Oryctolagus cuniculus: one gene and its partners. The protein of the gene in region 1 purifies or fractionates together with the protein of each later gene. This does not show direct contact. Links are inferred from orthologs where the notes say so. Each region holds a gene or a part of one and is shown on either strand. Other genes may lie near its edges.

What was found.
Region 2: the proteins of MED24 (region 1) and MED9 purify together in Homo sapiens (affinity purification with mass spectrometry; 5 studies listed by BioGRID and IntAct, with this or other methods). This does not show direct contact. The link is inferred for Oryctolagus cuniculus from reciprocal best matches to the Homo sapiens genes MED24 and MED9.
Region 3: the proteins of MED24 (region 1) and CDK8 purify together in Homo sapiens (affinity purification with mass spectrometry; 13 studies listed by BioGRID and IntAct, counting the BioPlex papers as one, with this or other methods). This does not show direct contact. The link is inferred for Oryctolagus cuniculus from reciprocal best matches to the Homo sapiens genes MED24 and CDK8.

Annotation. Positions count from the first base shown.
Region 1 is NC_091448.1:22,394,696-22,400,236, forward strand, and holds part of MED24 (mediator of RNA polymerase II transcription subunit 24), read left to right. Parts: coding exon 1-30; intron 31-1,178; coding exon 1,179-1,290; intron 1,291-2,214; coding exon 2,215-2,357; intron 2,358-3,582; coding exon 3,583-3,629; intron 3,630-3,842; exon of another isoform or gene 3,843-3,942; intron 3,943-4,019; coding exon 4,020-4,102; intron 4,103-5,106; coding exon 5,107-5,285; intron 5,286-5,398; coding exon 5,399-5,498; intron 5,499-5,541. UniProt on the Homo sapiens protein: Component of the Mediator complex, a coactivator involved in the regulated transcription of nearly all RNA polymerase II-dependent genes.
Region 2 is NC_091448.1:66,356,010-66,362,344, reverse strand, and holds the start of MED9 (mediator of RNA polymerase II transcription subunit 9), read right to left. Parts: upstream 3,879-6,335; 5' UTR 3,788-3,878; coding exon 3,561-3,787; intron 1-3,560.
Region 3 is NC_091440.1:96,684,728-96,690,268, reverse strand, and holds part of CDK8 (cyclin-dependent kinase 8), read right to left. Parts: intron 2,398-5,541; coding exon 2,254-2,397; intron 1-2,253.

The DNA of each region.
Region 1 (5,541 bases):
AGCCAGTGTCAACAGCCTTACAGCTAAGCGGTAAGTGTGAGCTCATGTGGGCTACCCCAAGAGCCCCGGGCTTTTCTGTCTCCTGTTGACTGGGCTGCTGCTGCCTCTCCCACTCCTGTCTAAAGTTTGGGTTGCAAATGACTGGGACCATGCCACGAGGGGACAGGGGACAGGAAGGGACAGACCAAACTCAGTTCTTTAACATACAGTTTGGTTCTCTCAGTTGCTACTTTTTTTTTTTAACATTTATTTATTTATTTGAAAGGCAGAGTCACAGAGGCAGAGACAGAAAGAAGTCTTCCACCCGCTGGTTCATTCCCCAGATGGCTGCAATGGCTAGAGCTGGGCCGATTCAGAGCCAGGAGCCAGGAATTCCTTCTGGATTTCCCATGCGGGTACAGGGGCCCAAGGACTTGGGCCATCTTCTACTGCTTTCCCAGGCCATAGCAGAGAGCTGGATTGGAAGTGGAGCAGCTAGGACTCGAACCAGTGCTATATGGGATGCTGGCACTGCAGGTGGCAGCTTTACCCTCTACACCACAGCGCCAGCCAGCCCTAGTTGCTACTTTTTAACCCATACCTTCCAGTGTGATAGAATCAGAATCCCAGATCTTCCGTTAACCTTCAGTAAATTTTCAAAAAAGACTCAATGGCTAATGACTAATTGAGGCAGTCGCAGTACTGAATTGCTTTCTCAAGCTTCACCCAACCCCAGAGGCTGTTAAAGGTTCCCAGGGGTGGGGCCGGCGCTGTGGCGTAGTGGGTGGAGCAGCTGCCTGCGGTGCCGGCGTCCCATATGGGCGCTGGTTTAAGTCTCGGCTGCTTCATTTCTGATCCAGCTCTCTGCTGAGGCCTGGGAGGGCAGTGGAAGATGGCTCAGGTCTTCGGGCCCCTGCACCCGAGTGGGAGACCTGGAGGAGGCTCCTGGCTTCAGATCAGCGCACCTCTGGCCGTTGTGGCCAACTGGGGAGTGAACCAGTGGATGGAAGACCTCTCTCTCTCTCTGCCTCTCCTTCTCTCTCTCTATAATTCTTTCAAGTAAATATATAAAATCTTTAAAAAAAAAGAAAAAGAAAAAAGGTTCCCAGGGTTGCTTCTGCAGTTGGACTAGGGAGTGTCATGAAATCATGAAATCACGTTCCTCTTCCCTTTTCTCGGCCAACTGGTTATGACCACAGCACTGAAGACCGGGAGCAGGCACCTCAGCTGAAGTCAGGAGAAAATGCCAACATCCAGCCCAACCCCGGGCTGATCCTGCGGGCAGAGCCCACTGTCACAAACATCCTCAAGGTCAGTGTGCCCGTCTCTTGCCACCAGAGTCTTGTCTTTCCCTGTCCAGTCCCTGTACTTCCAAATAAGTAACCAGGGCTGCAGGGCTCTCTCTTGTCTGGTTTTCTTTTTCTTTTTCTTTTCTTTTCTTTTCTTTTCTTTTCTTTTCTTTTCTTTTCTTTTCTTTTCTTTTCTTTTCTCTTCTCTTCTCTTCTCTTCTCTTCTCTTCTCTTCTCTTCTCTTTTCTTCTTCTTCTTCTTCTTCTTCTTTTTTTTTTTTTTTAAGATTTTATTTGTTTCTTTGAAGGGTAGAGTTACAGACAGAGAGAGGGAGAGACAGAAAGAAAGGTCTTCCATCCTCTGGTTCACTCCCCAAATGGCCGCAACAGCTAGAGCTAGGCCAATCCAAAGCTAGGAACCAGGAGCTTTCTCCAGGTCTCCCACTTCTATGGCTTTCCCAGGCCATAGCAGAGAGCTCAATCGGAAGAGGAACAGCTGGGGCTAGAACTGAACCGGCGCCCATGTGAGATGTTGGCACTGGAGGCAGAGGCTTAGCCTACCGTGCCACAGCACTGGCCCCTCTTGTCCGGTTTTCTCACATAGTTTGCTCTGGAAGTAGAGAGAGGGGGAAAGCGGGCGCAGCTCCCCCTGAAAGCTGAGGTTTTATTGGGTTTTGCTTGCGGGCCGGGTGCTGTGGTTGGGGCTTTCACTGTTGCCACCTTGTGTGAAGACAGTAGACAAGCTCCCACCTTCGTGCCAGTGTGACTGAGAGGGATGGATGGATTTTAGGAGTGATTTTCCAGATGGGGGTCAGAAAGATGGAGTCGAAATTGTAGATTGGGGTGTACCGGTCAGTGGAGACATGCAGCGAGAGAAAAGGTGGCTGCACTGTGTCTGGGGGGTTCCACAGTGTTCTTTGGGACTTGATTTCCTGTCCTGTCCCCAGACGATGGATGCAGACCACTCCAAGTCTCCAGAGGGGCTGCTGGGAGTCCTGGGCCACATGCTGTCTGGGAAGAGTCTGGACCTGCTGCTGGCTGCTGCTGCTGCCACTGGAAAGCTTAAATCCTTCGCCCGGAAATTTATCAAGTGAGGGGAACTGAGCTCCTGATTGGTGGGGAGGCCATGTGTGAGGGAGGAGTTAGCAGAGTGGCAGTGAGGCACCTTGGACAGGTCTCCCAGGTCAGAGATGCACTGGCCAGGGTGGAACATCCCAGCTGGAGACCTTGCTGGAGCGATCTTGACCCAGAATGCCTTTTTCTCTTGAGCGGAGGGTTAGGTGGAGGTGGTGATAAGGTGATGAGGCAGTGAACAGGAGGCATGGTGGGTTCTGTGAGTGTCCAGCCGCTAATGAGAGCCTCTCAGTTCTCCTGCTTGTGTTGGTTGACTTGGAATTTGACAGAGATCATTGTCACATTCAGGGAGCCAATCTCTAGGCCTTGGAACTCTTTTAATGATAGGTAGGAGAAAAAATAATAGAAATAATTATTTTTTCTATAGAAGTGATGTTTATTTACAATTTTTTTAAAGATTTATTCATTTATTTGAAAGAGTTCCACAGAGAGAGAAGGAGAGGCAAAGAGAAAGGTTTTTTGTCTGCTGGTTCACTCCTCAGATGGCTGCAACGGCTGGAGCTGAGCCGATCCGAAGCCAGGAGCCAGGAGCCAGGAGCCTCCTCTGGGTCTCCCACGCGGGTGCAGGTGCCCAAAAACTTGGGCCATCTTCTACTGCTTTCCCAGGCCACAGCAGAGAGCTGGATCAGAAGTGGAGCAGCTGGGCCTTGAACCGGCGCCCATATGGGATGCCAGAGCCTCAGGCCAGGGCCTTAACCCGCTGTGCCAAAGCGCCGACCCCTGTTTGCAAATTTTTAAGAAGTTTTTTTTTTTTTTTTTTTTTGAAAGGCAGAGTGAGAGAGAAGGTGAGAGATAAAGAAAGATCTTCCATTCACTGGCTCACTCTGCAGATGTCCACAGCAACTGGGACTGGGCCAGACTGAAGACAGGAGCTAGGAATTCCATCCGGGTCTCCCATGGGGGACCCAGGTACTTAGGGCGTCATCTGCTGCCCCCCAGGCTTCGTGTTAGCAGGAAGCTGGATCAGAAGCAGAGATGGGCCTGGATCCCAGACACTCCAGTGTGGGGTGTGGGCGTTCCAAGCTGAGGCTTCACCGCTGCCTCGCAGTGCCTGCCCTGTTTTGGGCTTAGTCGTGATTCCGATTCTAGTGACCGCCTCTCTGAGCGTGTGCAGCCCCTTGTATCTGATGGTTGCTCAGCTCTTCCCTGGTTGATGCCAGCTGTCTCCATTCCTTCCGCAGTTTGAACGAGTTGAATGAGTTCACAACGCATGGCAATGGAGAAAGCAGTAAGTCAGCGGCAGATCCCATTGGCACTGGATCTGCCAGTGGAGGGAGAAGGCAGGGGAGGGAGGGGCACCTCGGCTCACCCTGGGAAGGCTGTTTCCTCCCAAGCCATGACTGACTTAAAGAGGGCGGTGTTGGGAAAAATTTCTAAAACTGTCCTGTTGTTGCCTTCCTGCCCATCTTTATGGTTCAGCTGGGCATTAGGGGGAAGTCTTTGACTCCAAGGAAGGAATGATGTCCCTTGAGACTCAAGAAAAGGATTCTGAGCCTTGGCTTTGAAGGAGCCACTCAATCCCTGACCTTCCTTGAGGCAAATCCCGATCTTGCGACTCAGCCAGGGGCTTTGGGCCCTTGCCGTAGGCTGAGCTGTCAGCCTTTTTATCCTCTCACAGCCAAAGCAGCCTCAGTGCGTGCCTTGCTGTTCGACATCTCCTTCCTCATGCTGTGCCACGTGGCCCAGACCTATGGTTCGGAGGTGAGTGGGAAAAAGGAGAGGGGAACGACCCATAACCCTGCCATCCCCCACCTCAGTCAGTCTCCCAGGCCAGTTCTGCTGGCCTCAGAAAGCAGGTGCCCACCTTGGGCAAAGCCAGTGGACTTCTCAGTCACATCCACATCCTACAAGGACCGCTAGGTGGCAGCACAGTCCCCTGTCTGCCTCCCTCAGACCAGTTGGTCTGTAGTTCTTCAGGGTTGGAAGGGAACTGCAGGTTTCTAAATTTATTTATTTATTTCTTAAAAATATTTATTTATTTACTTGAAAGTCAGAGTTACACAGAGAGAGAAGGTGAGGCAGAGAGAGAGAGAGAGGTCTTGCATCCGCCGGTTCACTCCCCAATTGGCTGCATCGGCCGGAGCTGTGCCGATCCGAAGCCAGGAGCCTCCCCTGGGTCTCCCACATGGGCTCAGGGGCCCAAGGATTTGGGCCATCTTTCACCGCCCTCCCAGGCCATAACAGAGAGCTGGATCGGAAGTGGAGCAGCTGGGTCTCAAACCAGCACCCATATGGGATGCTGACACTGTAGGCGGCAGCTTTACCTGCTATGCCACAGCGGGGGCCCCTAAATTTATTTATTTATTTTTTAAGATTTATTTATTTATTTGAAAGGCAGAGTTACAGAGAGGTAGAGAGAGAGAGGTCTTCCCTCCGCTGGTTCACTCCCCAATTGGCTGCAACAGCTTGAGCCGCACGGATTGAAACCAGGAGCCAGGAGCTTCCTCCAGGTCTTCCTATGCAGGTGCAGGGGCCCAAGGACCTGGGCCATCTTCCGCTGCTTTCCCATGGCAGAGAGCTGGATCAGAAGTGGAGCAGCCGGGACTAGAACCGGCGCCCATATGGGATGCCGGCACTGCAGGCGGCAGCTTCACCACAGTGCCGGCCCCGGGAACTGCAGTTTGACAGGCAGTTGGGGTGTAGTCCTGGCCCAGCTCGGGCAGGCACTGCACCCTCCACACTCTGCTCCTCTCTGCCCCCTCCAGGTGATTCTGTCCGAGTCAAGCCCAGGAGCAGAGGTGCCATTCTTTGAGACTTGGATGCAGACGTGCATGCCCGAGGAGGGCAAGATCCTGAACCCTGACCACCCCTGCTTCCGACCCGATTCCACCAAAGTGGAGTCGCTGGTGGCCCTGCTCAACAATTCCTCAGAGATGAAGCTGGTGTTAGTGCCCGGGCGCCACTGCACGGAGGGAGGAGGGGCAGGGCCAAGCCCTTCTCCCGCAAGCCCATCTGTGCTCCCCACGGTGACTTTTCCCTCCTCCCCACCCTCTGTAGGCAGATGAAGTGGCACGAAGCCTGCCTCAGCATTTCAGCGGCCATCTTGGAAATCCTCAATGCCTGGGAGAATGGGGTGCTCGCCTTTGAGTCCATCCAGGTAGCCCCGCCTTTCTAGCAACCTCTGTCTTCCCAGGACACTA
Region 2 (6,335 bases), about 44 Mb from region 1:
GTAACCTCCCGTGCTTACCCTCGCCTTCACCCTTATTCCCAGAGGTCGCTGAGGGTCAGGGGAGCCCTTGTTCCATCGTTGGCTGACAGGGGTTAGCACGTGGCCCTCTACTTTGTGGCAACCACTCATCTTTGTCCTGTTCTTTTTGGTTCTATGTTTTAAAAAACAAACAACTTCACTGTCCCCTTAGGGGGAACAGAGCCAGAGCCGTGGGACACACCTGTCATCTCTCACAGTTCTCAGTGTCCCCACTACAATCTTGTGGTTCCCATCTCAAGAGAAAACGAGGCCCACTCACCCAACATTACCCTGCCGGTATGTTGCAAAGCTGCAGTCTGGGCCCATCGCCTGGGGTGCACCACCCACCTATGAGACGAGACACCTGCACCTGGGAGAGCGCCAGCACCCACACAGATGAGAACGCGAGCCAGCACCAGCACCCAGATCTGAGCCCAACCCAGGCCTGTCGCGCGGCAAGGCCCGCTGTCTCTTGACTGCTGCTGGGGCCATCCCAGCACAGCTGCTCTGCTGGGGTCCACGGATAAACCGCTGGGGAGCCCAACAGCTGTCCTTGTCACTGTGAATGTTCTGTTTCCATTTTTCCCAAAACCAGCGTATTCTGGGTTAATCCTTTATAATTCTACGCGCCTCCGGGACTGCACTGGGTAGCCCCGAAGTGTCACTTGAGATCACAGGGCGGCACGAACGTAGGGAAGCCAAAGGAAGGCGGGTCTAATGGGAGAACAAAGGCGTCCAGGCCGTCCACAGCCCGCAAGTCTCTCTCGTCTGCCCGCTCTCCAGAGAGCTGGGCCATTACCAGTCAAGATGCTCACACTGGGGGTCGGCGTTGGGGTGCCGCGGGTGAAGCCACTGCCTGTGATGGGTGCCAGTTTGTGTCCCAGCTGCTCCAATTCCAGTCCAGCTCCTTCTAATGGCTTAGGAAATGAAGCGAAAAGATGGTCCAAGTCCTTGGGTCCCTGCCACCAACGTGGGAGAACAGGATGAAGCTCCTAGATCCTGCCAGGCCCAGGCCCGTTGTTTTGGCCATCTGGGGACTGAACCTGCACATGGAAGATCTCTCTGTCTCTTCTTCTCACTGTAACTCCTTTTTTAAAAAAATTTTTTAAGATTTATTCATTAATTAAAGTCAAACTTAGAGAGGAGAGACAGAGCGAGAGATCTTGCACCCGCTGGTTCAGTCCCCAAACAGCCATAACAGCTAGGGCTGGGGCAGGTGAAAGCCAGGAGCTTCTTCTGGGTCTCCCACACGGGTAGCAGAGTCCAAACACTTGAGCCATCTTCTGCTGCCTTTCCCAGGCCATTAGCAGGGAGCTGGATTCGAAGTGGAGCAGCCAGGACTCGACCCGGTGCCTATATGGGAAGGCAGCACCGCAGGTAACATCGGACCCTGTAACTCTTTCCAAATAAATACATCTTTAAAAGAAAAAAAAAGTCCACGTTGTCAGCAGCGACTCCATCTCAGCACAGCATCGGCAAGCCCATCAACCTTCAACCTGAACGCCCCCGCAATGGTGGTGGTGTCAAGTTTAGCTTGCTTTGGTTTTAAATGGTTGAGCTCGAGTGGCAAGCCTGGGGGTTTACATCTAGCACTGAGTCGTGAGTCAGCCAACAACAGACTACACACACGACGAATGGTGGCATGAGATTAAAACGGGGCTGAAAACAACCTTGTTCGTGGTGACTCCGACGGAAAGAAACCGACTGCACTGCCAGTTCTCATACAGGGAACTTCAGAAAGTTACTGCGGGGCCGGCGCTATGGCGTAGTGGGTAAAGCCACCGCCTGCAGTACCGACATTTCATATGGGTGCTGGTTCTAGTCCCGGCTGCTCCACTTCCGATCCAGCTCTCTGCCATGGCCTGGGAAAGCAGTAGAAGATGGCCCAGGTCCTTGGCCCCCTGCCTGCTTGGGAGACCCAGAAGAAGCTCCTGGCTTCTGGCTTCAGATCGGCACAGCTCCGGCTGTTGCAGCCATTTGGGGAGTGAACCATTGGGTGGAAGCTCTCTCTCTCTCTCTCTCTGCCTCTCTGTAATTCTGCCTTTCAAATGAATTAAAAAAAAAAAAGTTACTGGAAAAATGGAACTAAAATTTTGGTTCAGGGGCCAGCATTGTGGCACAAGCCGTTGATGCTGGCATCCCACATGAGGACCTACTCAAGTCCCCGCTGCTCCATTTCCAATTCAGTTCCCTGATAATGCGCCTGGGAAAGCAGCCGGGATGGCCCAAGTGCTTGGGGCCCCTGTCGCCCACGTGGGAGACCCGGATGGGGTTCCAGGCTCCTGGCTTCAGCCTGGCCCAGGCCGGCCGTTGTGGCCATTTGGGCAGTGAACCAACAGATGGAAGATCTCTCTCTCTCTCTGCCTCCCTATCACTTTGCCTTTCAAATAAGTAAAACCAATCCCTGAAAAATAAAATGAAACCCATACACATCTTTCCATAATACGCACTTTTCCGTGAACTTTCAAAACAATCCTCGTATTGGCTGTCCTATACCTCTCACTGCTGTTTCAGAACGTACTCCTCCTACTTCCACGAAAGGCCAAACACCACGCATGTCCCGTTGGGACGTGTCTGCCTGCAGCAAGCGGCCGATGCCTCGGCTGCACCTCCTCACTCTCCCAGGCACCACTCCGTGACGTCAGCGCCAGCGGCGTACTCACTCAGGCAAGCGTGGAACGGGGGGGACTTTGGTTTCTTGTCTGTTTTTGTTTTTTCCTTTCCAGAGCCTGTCTGTCCGAAAGCTTGGGCTCCCCTGAGGGCTGGCCAACAGCACGGCCATATCCTTTCAAGGTAGGCTGGGATCAAGTTAGTCCAGGCCCGGTGGAGGCGATTTCTGTGTCTCTGCAGGCCATCTCAGCCCTGCAGGCTCAATCTGTATGAATTATGGGTAACATAATTATGGGTAACAGAGAGAGATCTTCTATCTACTGGTTCACTCCCTAAATAGCCCGAACAAAGCCAGGAGCCAGGAGCTTCTTCCAGGTCTCCCGCGTGGGTGCAGGGGCCCAAGGACTTGGGCCATCATCCACTGCTTTCCCAGGCCACAGCAGAGAGCTGGACCAGAAGTGGAGCAGCCGGGACTCGAACTGGAGACATTCGGGATGCTGGCGCTACAGGCGACGGCTTTACCTGCTACGCCACAAGGCCGGCCCGCAGTCGGCCCCTTTTACCGTGCGCACCCCGTAACGCCTAGCAGAACGCTATGCAGTCCCGACGATGTTTCTCTGCGGGATGTGCTGAAGACGAGGAGAAAACCAGAGCGCGTCTTAACCCTACGGAGCCTCAGGGACGCTGCCCAGGCTCCCGAGGCCCCCGGCCACCTGTGCCGGCCAGCTCGGAGCAAGTGTCCCCCGCATAGAGCACGGCGCCCCCCGGCGCCCCCATGCGCCCGGACAGGCGCCGCGAGCTCTCGGGAGAGGCCCCTGCCCACCCCCTGGCCTCGGCCTGCCCGCCCGAGAAATGGGGACGCACCCTTGCAGCCTCCTAGCGCCAGCGCCAGCGGCGGCGGCGGGGCCCCCTCTTCCGGGGCCCTTCCTTACCATTTGATGATGTTGTGAACCAACGGCAGGAAGGAGTAGTTCTCCTCCTCCTTCATGCTGGCGGGGCTCTGGGGCCGGGGCGCCGGCGACTGCTGCGGCTGGGGCGCGGCCACCGGTGGCGGCAGCTGCGGCGGCGGCAACGGCTTGGTCTCGGTCAGCGGCGGGTCGGCCGGTGGCGGTAACGCATCCTCGGCCTGTCGCCCAGCGGCCACCCCGGCCGAGGCCATGGCCCCGGGGCTCGGTCCAGCGAGCCAACTCCCCCACTTCACCGGCTCGGCTCGCCGGGAGCGTCGCGGACTCTACACGTCACTGCTGAGCGCCTCGCAGGGGCGGGGCCGGACGCACGGATCTGAGCATGCGCACTGAGCAGGGGGCGGGGTAAAAGCGCAGGCGTGAGGGGAGGAGGCTGTTGCTAGGCGACATGCGGTGGGCGGGCTGGTGTAGGCTGGATTTGGTTGCGAGTCTAGTTAAGTAAATTAGTCAGAAACAGGCGATTTAGCTCAAGTGACCTCAACGGCCAGGGCTGGGCCAGGGCCAACCCAGGAGCCAGGAGCTTCGTTCAGGGTTTTCACGCGGGTGCAGGGGCCCAAGTACTTGGGCCATCTGCTGCTGCTTTTCCCAGGCCTTTAGCAGAGAGCTGGGTGGGAAGTGGAGCAGCCGAGTCTCAGACTGGCGCCCATATGGGATGCCGGCGCTGCAGGCCGCGACTTAACCCACAGCACCATGGCTTCGACCCGCTATTTTATTTTTTTAAAACAACTGTTCAACATTTTTAAATTTATTTTTATTTGAAAGGCAAAGTGATAGACACGCGGAAATCTTTTCTCGGATACTTCTCTCTCCCAATGCCTCCAACAACTGTGGCTGGGCCAGGCTGAAGCCAGGAGCTAGGTACTCCATCCAGGACTCCCACGTGGGTGGCAGGGGCCCAAGCACCTGGGCCATCATCTGCTGCCTCCCAGGCTCATTAGCAGGGAGCTGGGCAGAGCAGCCGGGACCTGAAACAATTCTCTAGTGTGGGGGGCAGGTGTCCCGCAGAGAGCTGGATGGGACGCAGAGCAGCCGGGACCTGAAACAACTCTCTAGTGTGGGTGGCAGGTGTCCCAAGCTCTGGCCTAACCCACAGCGCTAGGACGCCAACTCCAAAGCATCCCCATTTTAAAGACAAAGTAACTGAGACTTAACAATGGGTGTGGGTCTAGGGTCACCCAGTTTGCCTAACGCCAAACCTATGGTCTCAGCCAGGTTCCTCAGGCTTCTGCTAGTTTTGTAACTTTATGATTCAAAATGTTAACGTGGCTTTCTATTCAGAATTTGAGAAGCAATCTAATAGTCATCAATAATATCCCCATGGCAACGTGCGTCATTTTTTTTCCCCTCCCAGCGTGTTTGATCACAAGCCCCGAATTTGTCATTGGCATCATAATGAGAACGTCCTTTAAAAAGAAAAAAAAAATCAGGTATAAATAGATATGGCTAAAAAACAAACAAAAAAACCCACAAATTGAAAATGTTAGATGCATGAGCAAATACTGGGTATTGACAATTTGCCCTATAAATAGTTCATATAATTAGTGACAAAGAGTAAAGTTTTGTAATGCTGCAAGCATATGTCAGAAAAATCCTGCCTGGGCTGCTTTCAGGAAGCCCAACATTGCCACAAAAATACGCATCTGTTTAATACTCATCCTGGTAAACGTCAGCAAAGGCAGCTGCTTCATGAATATGTAAGGCGGCTGTTTTGTCAGAGACGTGGCCAGCCTCAGCTGCACTGATGACGTAAGCAGATTTTTTTAAAGGATTATTTTATTTATTTGAAAGACAGAGTTAGAGGAAGAGGTAGAGCCAGCAAGAGAGAAAGAGAGAGAGAGAGAATCTTCCACCTGCTGGTTCACTCCCCAAATGGCCACAAAGCCCAGAGCTGAGCAGATCCAAAGCCAGGAGCCAGGAGCTTCTTCCTGGTCTCCCATGCAGGTGCAGGGGCCCAAGGACTTGGGCATCCTCCACTGCTTTCCCAGGCCACAGCAGAGAGCTGGATGGAAATGGAGCAGCCGGGACTGGAACCCATATGAGATGCCGGCACCGCAGGAGGCAGCTTCACCCGCTATGCCACAACACCGGCCCCTTGAGCAGCTTTGTGCTGTTTCTCCTGGGTCCCGTCCTGCCAGGTTTCTGGTTACAAGGGCAGGCTTTGGAGCTGGCCAGCCTGACTTCTGTCCCAGCTTGGCTTCCTTCAGGTGTGTGTGTGGACGGTGGCTCAGCCTCTCTCTGAGCAGCAATGGAACACGTTGGGGGGGGGGGGGGGGGATGGGACCTTGAAGAGCTGGTTGAGCCTGGGAAAGGGTTTGTGATCAAGGCCCGTGGAAGGAGGGAGTGTCTGTTACAAACAGTTCAGCTCTCTCTTGCCATAGTGGCACCCTTTTCTACACCCTTCTGCTGTGTTAGGACACAGCAAGAAGCCACCAGCAGGTGTGCCCGCCCTGCCCCCACCACGGGTCTTGGACTTTCCGGCTCCCAGAACTGTGAGTTTCTGCTACGGGGGGGGGGGGGGGGGGGGGGGGGGGCTGAAACACATGTGAGGCATTTCATGTAGCGTTTTATGCTGCCAGCAAAAAGGTCTCCATGTGGGAGACCTGGAAGAAGCTCCTGGCTCCTGGCTTCAGATCAGCGCAGCTCCGGCTGTTGTGGCCACTGGGGAGTGAACCAGAGTTTGGAAGACCTCTCTGTCTCTCCCTCTCTCTCTGTAAACTCTGCCTTTCAGAGAAATAAATTTAA
Region 3 (5,541 bases), on another chromosome or scaffold:
TTTCCAGTTCTTTTAGCCTCTCTGGAAGCTCAGAGTTCAAATAAATGTTCAGCTACAATAAACATCTTGAACTGTAAATACAATTCCTCATCCGCTCAAATAGCTTTTATATCTGTTCATCTTTTAAATTTTTAAATTGTTTGCTTTCCATATGATTTATTGTTAAGTTGCCTCAATTACTATAACTAGGAAGGAATATTATAAGTATTTCTATTTATTATTAAAAAGTTCTATTTCTATTAGTATAATAATTTATTTTTTCCTTTTCCACCACACTTCTTGGCAAATCAGCAATTTCCTTATTTACATCAGCAATCAATATAGCCAGTAATAACTGTTTGCAGTAGAACTGGGTGTAGGATGGAAATAGTAATATTAATAATCGGCTGGTATCTTGGTTTTTTTTATTAACATTACCCGACACTAAATAAAAACTCCTAGCTACTAAATAATTTTTGGGGTGTTAAGTAAAACAAAAGTTGTTAAATAAATTTTAAGAACAAAATGTTTCAGCCAGGTTTGCTGGCCTTAAGAGTTGCTCCAACAACTCATGTCAGATCACCTGCTTTCTCCATCAATACCAAAGACTTTTAATGAAAGCCCACTAGGCAAGCAGCACTGTGACAAGCACCTTTCACTTTTAATTGGCCTTTCATGGTTTGCTTTTCTTTGAAGTCACTGGTAAAAATATTTGCTAACTGTCCTCCATAGACATCACATAATGTAAACTAAATGTCTACTTAAATTCCTAAATGGAATTTCCTCCTTACTTTTTCCTTGCCCCGATTTCTCTATTTTGTCAATTCCTCAAAGTAGAAATCTTGAGATTATCCTTCCCAGTGACACAAAGCTGTGTCCTCCATTCTCCTTCCGTGCTCTTTCTGCCTGTAGTATTGCTACAGCAAGAGGCCTGTTTCCCTGACTGCAGTCACCTCTCTGATTTTTACACACCACTGCCATACTGATCTTTCTAAAATATAAATCACATTCCTTGTACTCAAAAACTCATTGTAGACTCTCAAATTTCAGCTTATCAAGTCTAAACTGGGCCACCTTCTTCAAGGACCCTTACATAAACAGCCCACCCTAACTGTCGAGCCACACATTAAGGATCCTCTCCACTATGGGCCATCACCACTCCCACCCTCTCCCCTAAGCTACATTCCTGTGGGCCTCAGAAATAGTGGACAAATTCAGAAGCAGGAAGTAAAGGCCACTCTTCTCTATCTGCTCAGAACATAGCTATTCTTTAAACATTCTACTTATAGCAGTACAATGTAAACCACACCAGGGCAAGAATCATGTCTGTTATATCAATGTTTTACTTAAGACAGTGTTGACACATGGCAGTTACTCATAAATATTTAGTGAATAAAAGAAATTCCATCACGACAAAGTCATCTTTCCAAAACTGTTGACAAATTGTGGAGAGAGGTAACCCTCAGATATTTTGGAGAAACCCTCAGGTATTTCTGTATTTGTCTTGGGTTACAGTGACTTGAGAAATATTTCTAATGAGAAACAATTTCTATTAAGTACTAAATGATTCAAAATTATTGGTGTCTTTTAAACAATTTGCCATTTTACTGAACCTCTGGGGAGTTTTTGGTGAATGAAGAATCACCATTCTGTGGTATACCTAGAGCCTGGGCTGTAGCTGGAGAGATGTAATGCCAAGAACTGGACACCTGAGGACTGTTTCCCTGCTGTGAAACTCAGGGCTAGCAGCTGGTGGAGTGCAATGCTTAGCCCACATTCTGACTGTTCCAACACAACACTTTTAGTGATGAGGGTCAGAGAGCAAAAATGTCCAATATACTGTTCATAGTGCCCTAAATAATGTTCAAAATTTGTATTCAAATGTCAAGAACTAGCAGTATTAAATGTGCTGCAATAAAAAAAAAATTCTACTACTGAATTTGATTTATAGTTTCTACTGGTAAGAACCAAAAACACCCTTCTAATATAGATATTGCAAATATTGTATCATATTAAATATCAAACAACAAAACAAAAGCAAAACAAAACAAAAAATACTCAAATTCAGGAAATCCACAAATATTTTGCATGTTAATACTCTTGTGAATTCTACAAATTTTGCTATTTCTGTCAATCTTTGATAAATACAAGTAATAAAAACAAAGCATCAAGTACAAATAGCTTTCATCAACTAAAAATATACATCTTTCCAATGAAGATATCTAAGTTCAAACAACAGTGATTTAAAAACAAAAACAAAAACATAATGTGTACCTGCAGGAAATCCCATTACATTGAATATTCTGTCCAGCTGGTCATGGTGATAAGGATTACTAGTTTTGATGTCCTCTTGTCGACAGTGAAATATTGGTTCTGACGTTAGTAGTTCTGCAAATATACACCCTATAGCCCAAATATCTTTAAAATAAAAAGAAAAAAAAAAAGAAAAGAAAAAAAAGGAAAGGAAAAAAGAAAAAGAAAGGAGGAAAATAAAGTGGTTCTTTCCAAAAGAAAATGCATTTTTATTTTGGTGGGAGTCTTTTTCTTTTCTTCCCTAATAGTCATATTAGTTCCTAAGCAATTATAATTACTAAATATCAGGGAACATTGTTTGTAAATAGCCCCCACACTCCCATTCCCAATTCTTCATTCCCTATTATACCTCCACCCCACCCAGTGTTTCCATTATAAAACTAATAAAACTGATTAGCTGGATTTTGATGAGTTTTAAATGCCCCAAACATTACCTTATCTACAAAATAAATACAAAGCTGCACACAAAGCATGGGAACCACAAACAAACAAAACTAAACAAAAACTAAACAGAAAATCCAAACAGCCTTTCAAATTGTGCCCTTGCCAAAAATAAGCACAATTTTTTGTGATAAAATACTTGTCTTTATCTTGTTTATTTAGTTACTAATTTGTAAAGTCTAATAATTACCCTCCTGTTAGCACTCTTAGCAAGGTGCAATTCCAACAAGAAAAAGACAATGCCTGACCTAAAATATTCTAATGAAATACATTTCCCTGTGAACAGTTTATCTTTCAAAGTATTTTTTATGCCACAGCAGTGTCAGATTTTTTAAGTATTTACAAAGAAACATAAGCAAATGGGGAGCAAAATACTACTTTAAGTATGAGACTAAAAATTCATAGGAATTATTTACATAGGCCAAATGTATTTCTTTGTATACAAAAAAGGCAAATTTCTTTCATTCACAAGATACAGGTTTACTATCATTCACATTAAATTTGAAATCAACATAACTATTAAATTGGTATACTGACAAAATCAATATACCAATTTAGAATTTAAAGTTGAAAATATTCCACTTCTACTCTTAGCAAAATCCTAAACTGAATATGTTAACTTCTCTACGCTAATAAGTCCAATGTGCAAACAGTCATCCTATTCAGAAGTGGTTTTGGAATGATCTACTCAATACCGATCATCAGTATAAATAAGCATTGGGACAAATTAAAATTTTTTCCATGAAATTTTTGAAGGCCCCTCATATATATGGATTTCAAAATTTTTGCCATCAAAATAGCTTGTCTTTGAATGCTATTTTCCAAACTTTTTCAATCCCCTTTATAGGCCAAGCTCTTGTTTTTAGTAAAAGAAAGTAAATGGAGGGGAGAAGCAGTGCTGGGATGTAGTGGGTTTAGCAAAGCAAGCATCCCATATACAAGTGTCAGTTCTAGTCCCAGCTGCTCTGATTCCAATCCAGCTTCCTGCTAATACACATAGGAGGGCAGCAGAAGATGGCCCAAGTACTTGGGCTCCTGCCACCATGTGGGAGACTAGGATGGAGTTCCTGGCTCCTGGCTTTAGCCTGGCCCACACATGGTCATTTGGGGGAGTGAACCAGCTGATGGAAGATCCATTTCTCTCTCTCAAATAAATAAATGGGAAAATTAGTCCCCCCACCCCACCCCCGCCCAGGCAGAGTGGACAGTGAGAGAGAGAGACAGAGAGAAAGGTCTTCCTTTTCCATTGGTTCACCCCTCAATGGCTGCCACGGCCGGCGCTGATCCAAAGCCAGGAGCCAGGTGCTTCTCCTGCTCTTCCATGTGGGTGCAGGGCCCAAGGACTTGGGCCATCCTCCACTGCACTCCCGGGGCACAGCAGAGAGCTGGACTGGAAGAGGAGCAACCGGGACAGAATCCGGTGCTCCGACAGGGACTAGAACCAAGTGCCGGCGCCACAGGCGGAGGATTAGCCTAGTGAGCCATGGTACCAGCCAATTTTTAAATTATTATTCTTATATGAGTAACCCATATAAATTTGATCTTTGATAATCACAGTGGCCAGGTAGACAAGCTAAGCAGGATCACCAAAGGGATGACGGATCATTTTGTATGTTTAAAGCTCTACTCATCCTATATCCTAAAGACATTATAAGCATTTATCAGGTTAGCTATCAAAAATTCCAATGACAAAAATAAAATATGAAGGAAGATGAGAGGTAAACAGTTTAGCTATCATTAATACTATCCTGTTTTTCTAATAAAAAGTCAGGTAAGTAGGAAAACAGTTTACTGAATCTTGCTTGATCTCACAGTAGCAACCTCTTTCTTAGTATTTCCTATTTTCTCTCACCTCTATCAGGTTTACCACCCTTTCTTTCTTCAAAATCCTGACCCAGACATTAATCATGAACTTTGAGTCAGCTAATCAGTATGTTACTTCAAATTTTTCATTCTTTGTAAATAAGTCTCCCTTTCCTAATTTGCCCCCCACCCTGAGTCTGTGCCAGATTCACAGAAGAGTCTCTCTTCTGCTCACTTACCTGCCTAACTCCTGACAAAAAGACCTTCCAGATTAAAAACAAATAAATATCTATTTCTCAAAATCTGTGCTGCTTATGTGTAGCCACTGAGCTAAGCAGACAAAGGAGGTAGGCACTGGCATGCTTCATGTACTCAAACTGGGGGAGGGGAGGGTCAAAATTATTGTAAACAACAGGTGTACTAACACCAAGTTTCTATCCTAATAAAAGAGAGTAAGTTTTCATTTCATTTTCCCTGTTTTACTGTATATTTCCCACACTGCAGAATGCCATATGTTCTGTGGACATTCAGCTATTTGAGGACAAACACCTGAGTTTCTCCAAATTACCATGTGATTAGTAAAGTTTTTTAGACTGCTTTAGTGACAATGACTTAGAGAGTGATGCTCTTTCAGTCTCTGTCCAAAGTCCACCAAGCAAACATAAAAATAAAATACTGAAAATGGAATTTAAAGTCTGTCCCTGAAATTACAATACTTACTAGACTATTAGTTCTATCTTTGGTATAATGATTCAGGTTGTAGTGTGTACACTGAATAAATGACCACAGCACTGTAATCTTTCTGTACTAGAGGGTAAGCAGATGTAAGTTTGAAGTGTTCAGACCAGATTATTTTCCCCAAGTTTTGTTTCTTGTAGCCTTCAGCTTAATGTTATCCACTGAAGCCCAGTAACAGATTTAACTTTTCTCTATGATGTTGTTAAAGTGAATATATGGATTGTATTCAGCAAATTATACGTATGTTCAACCATAAAGGTTCTTCCA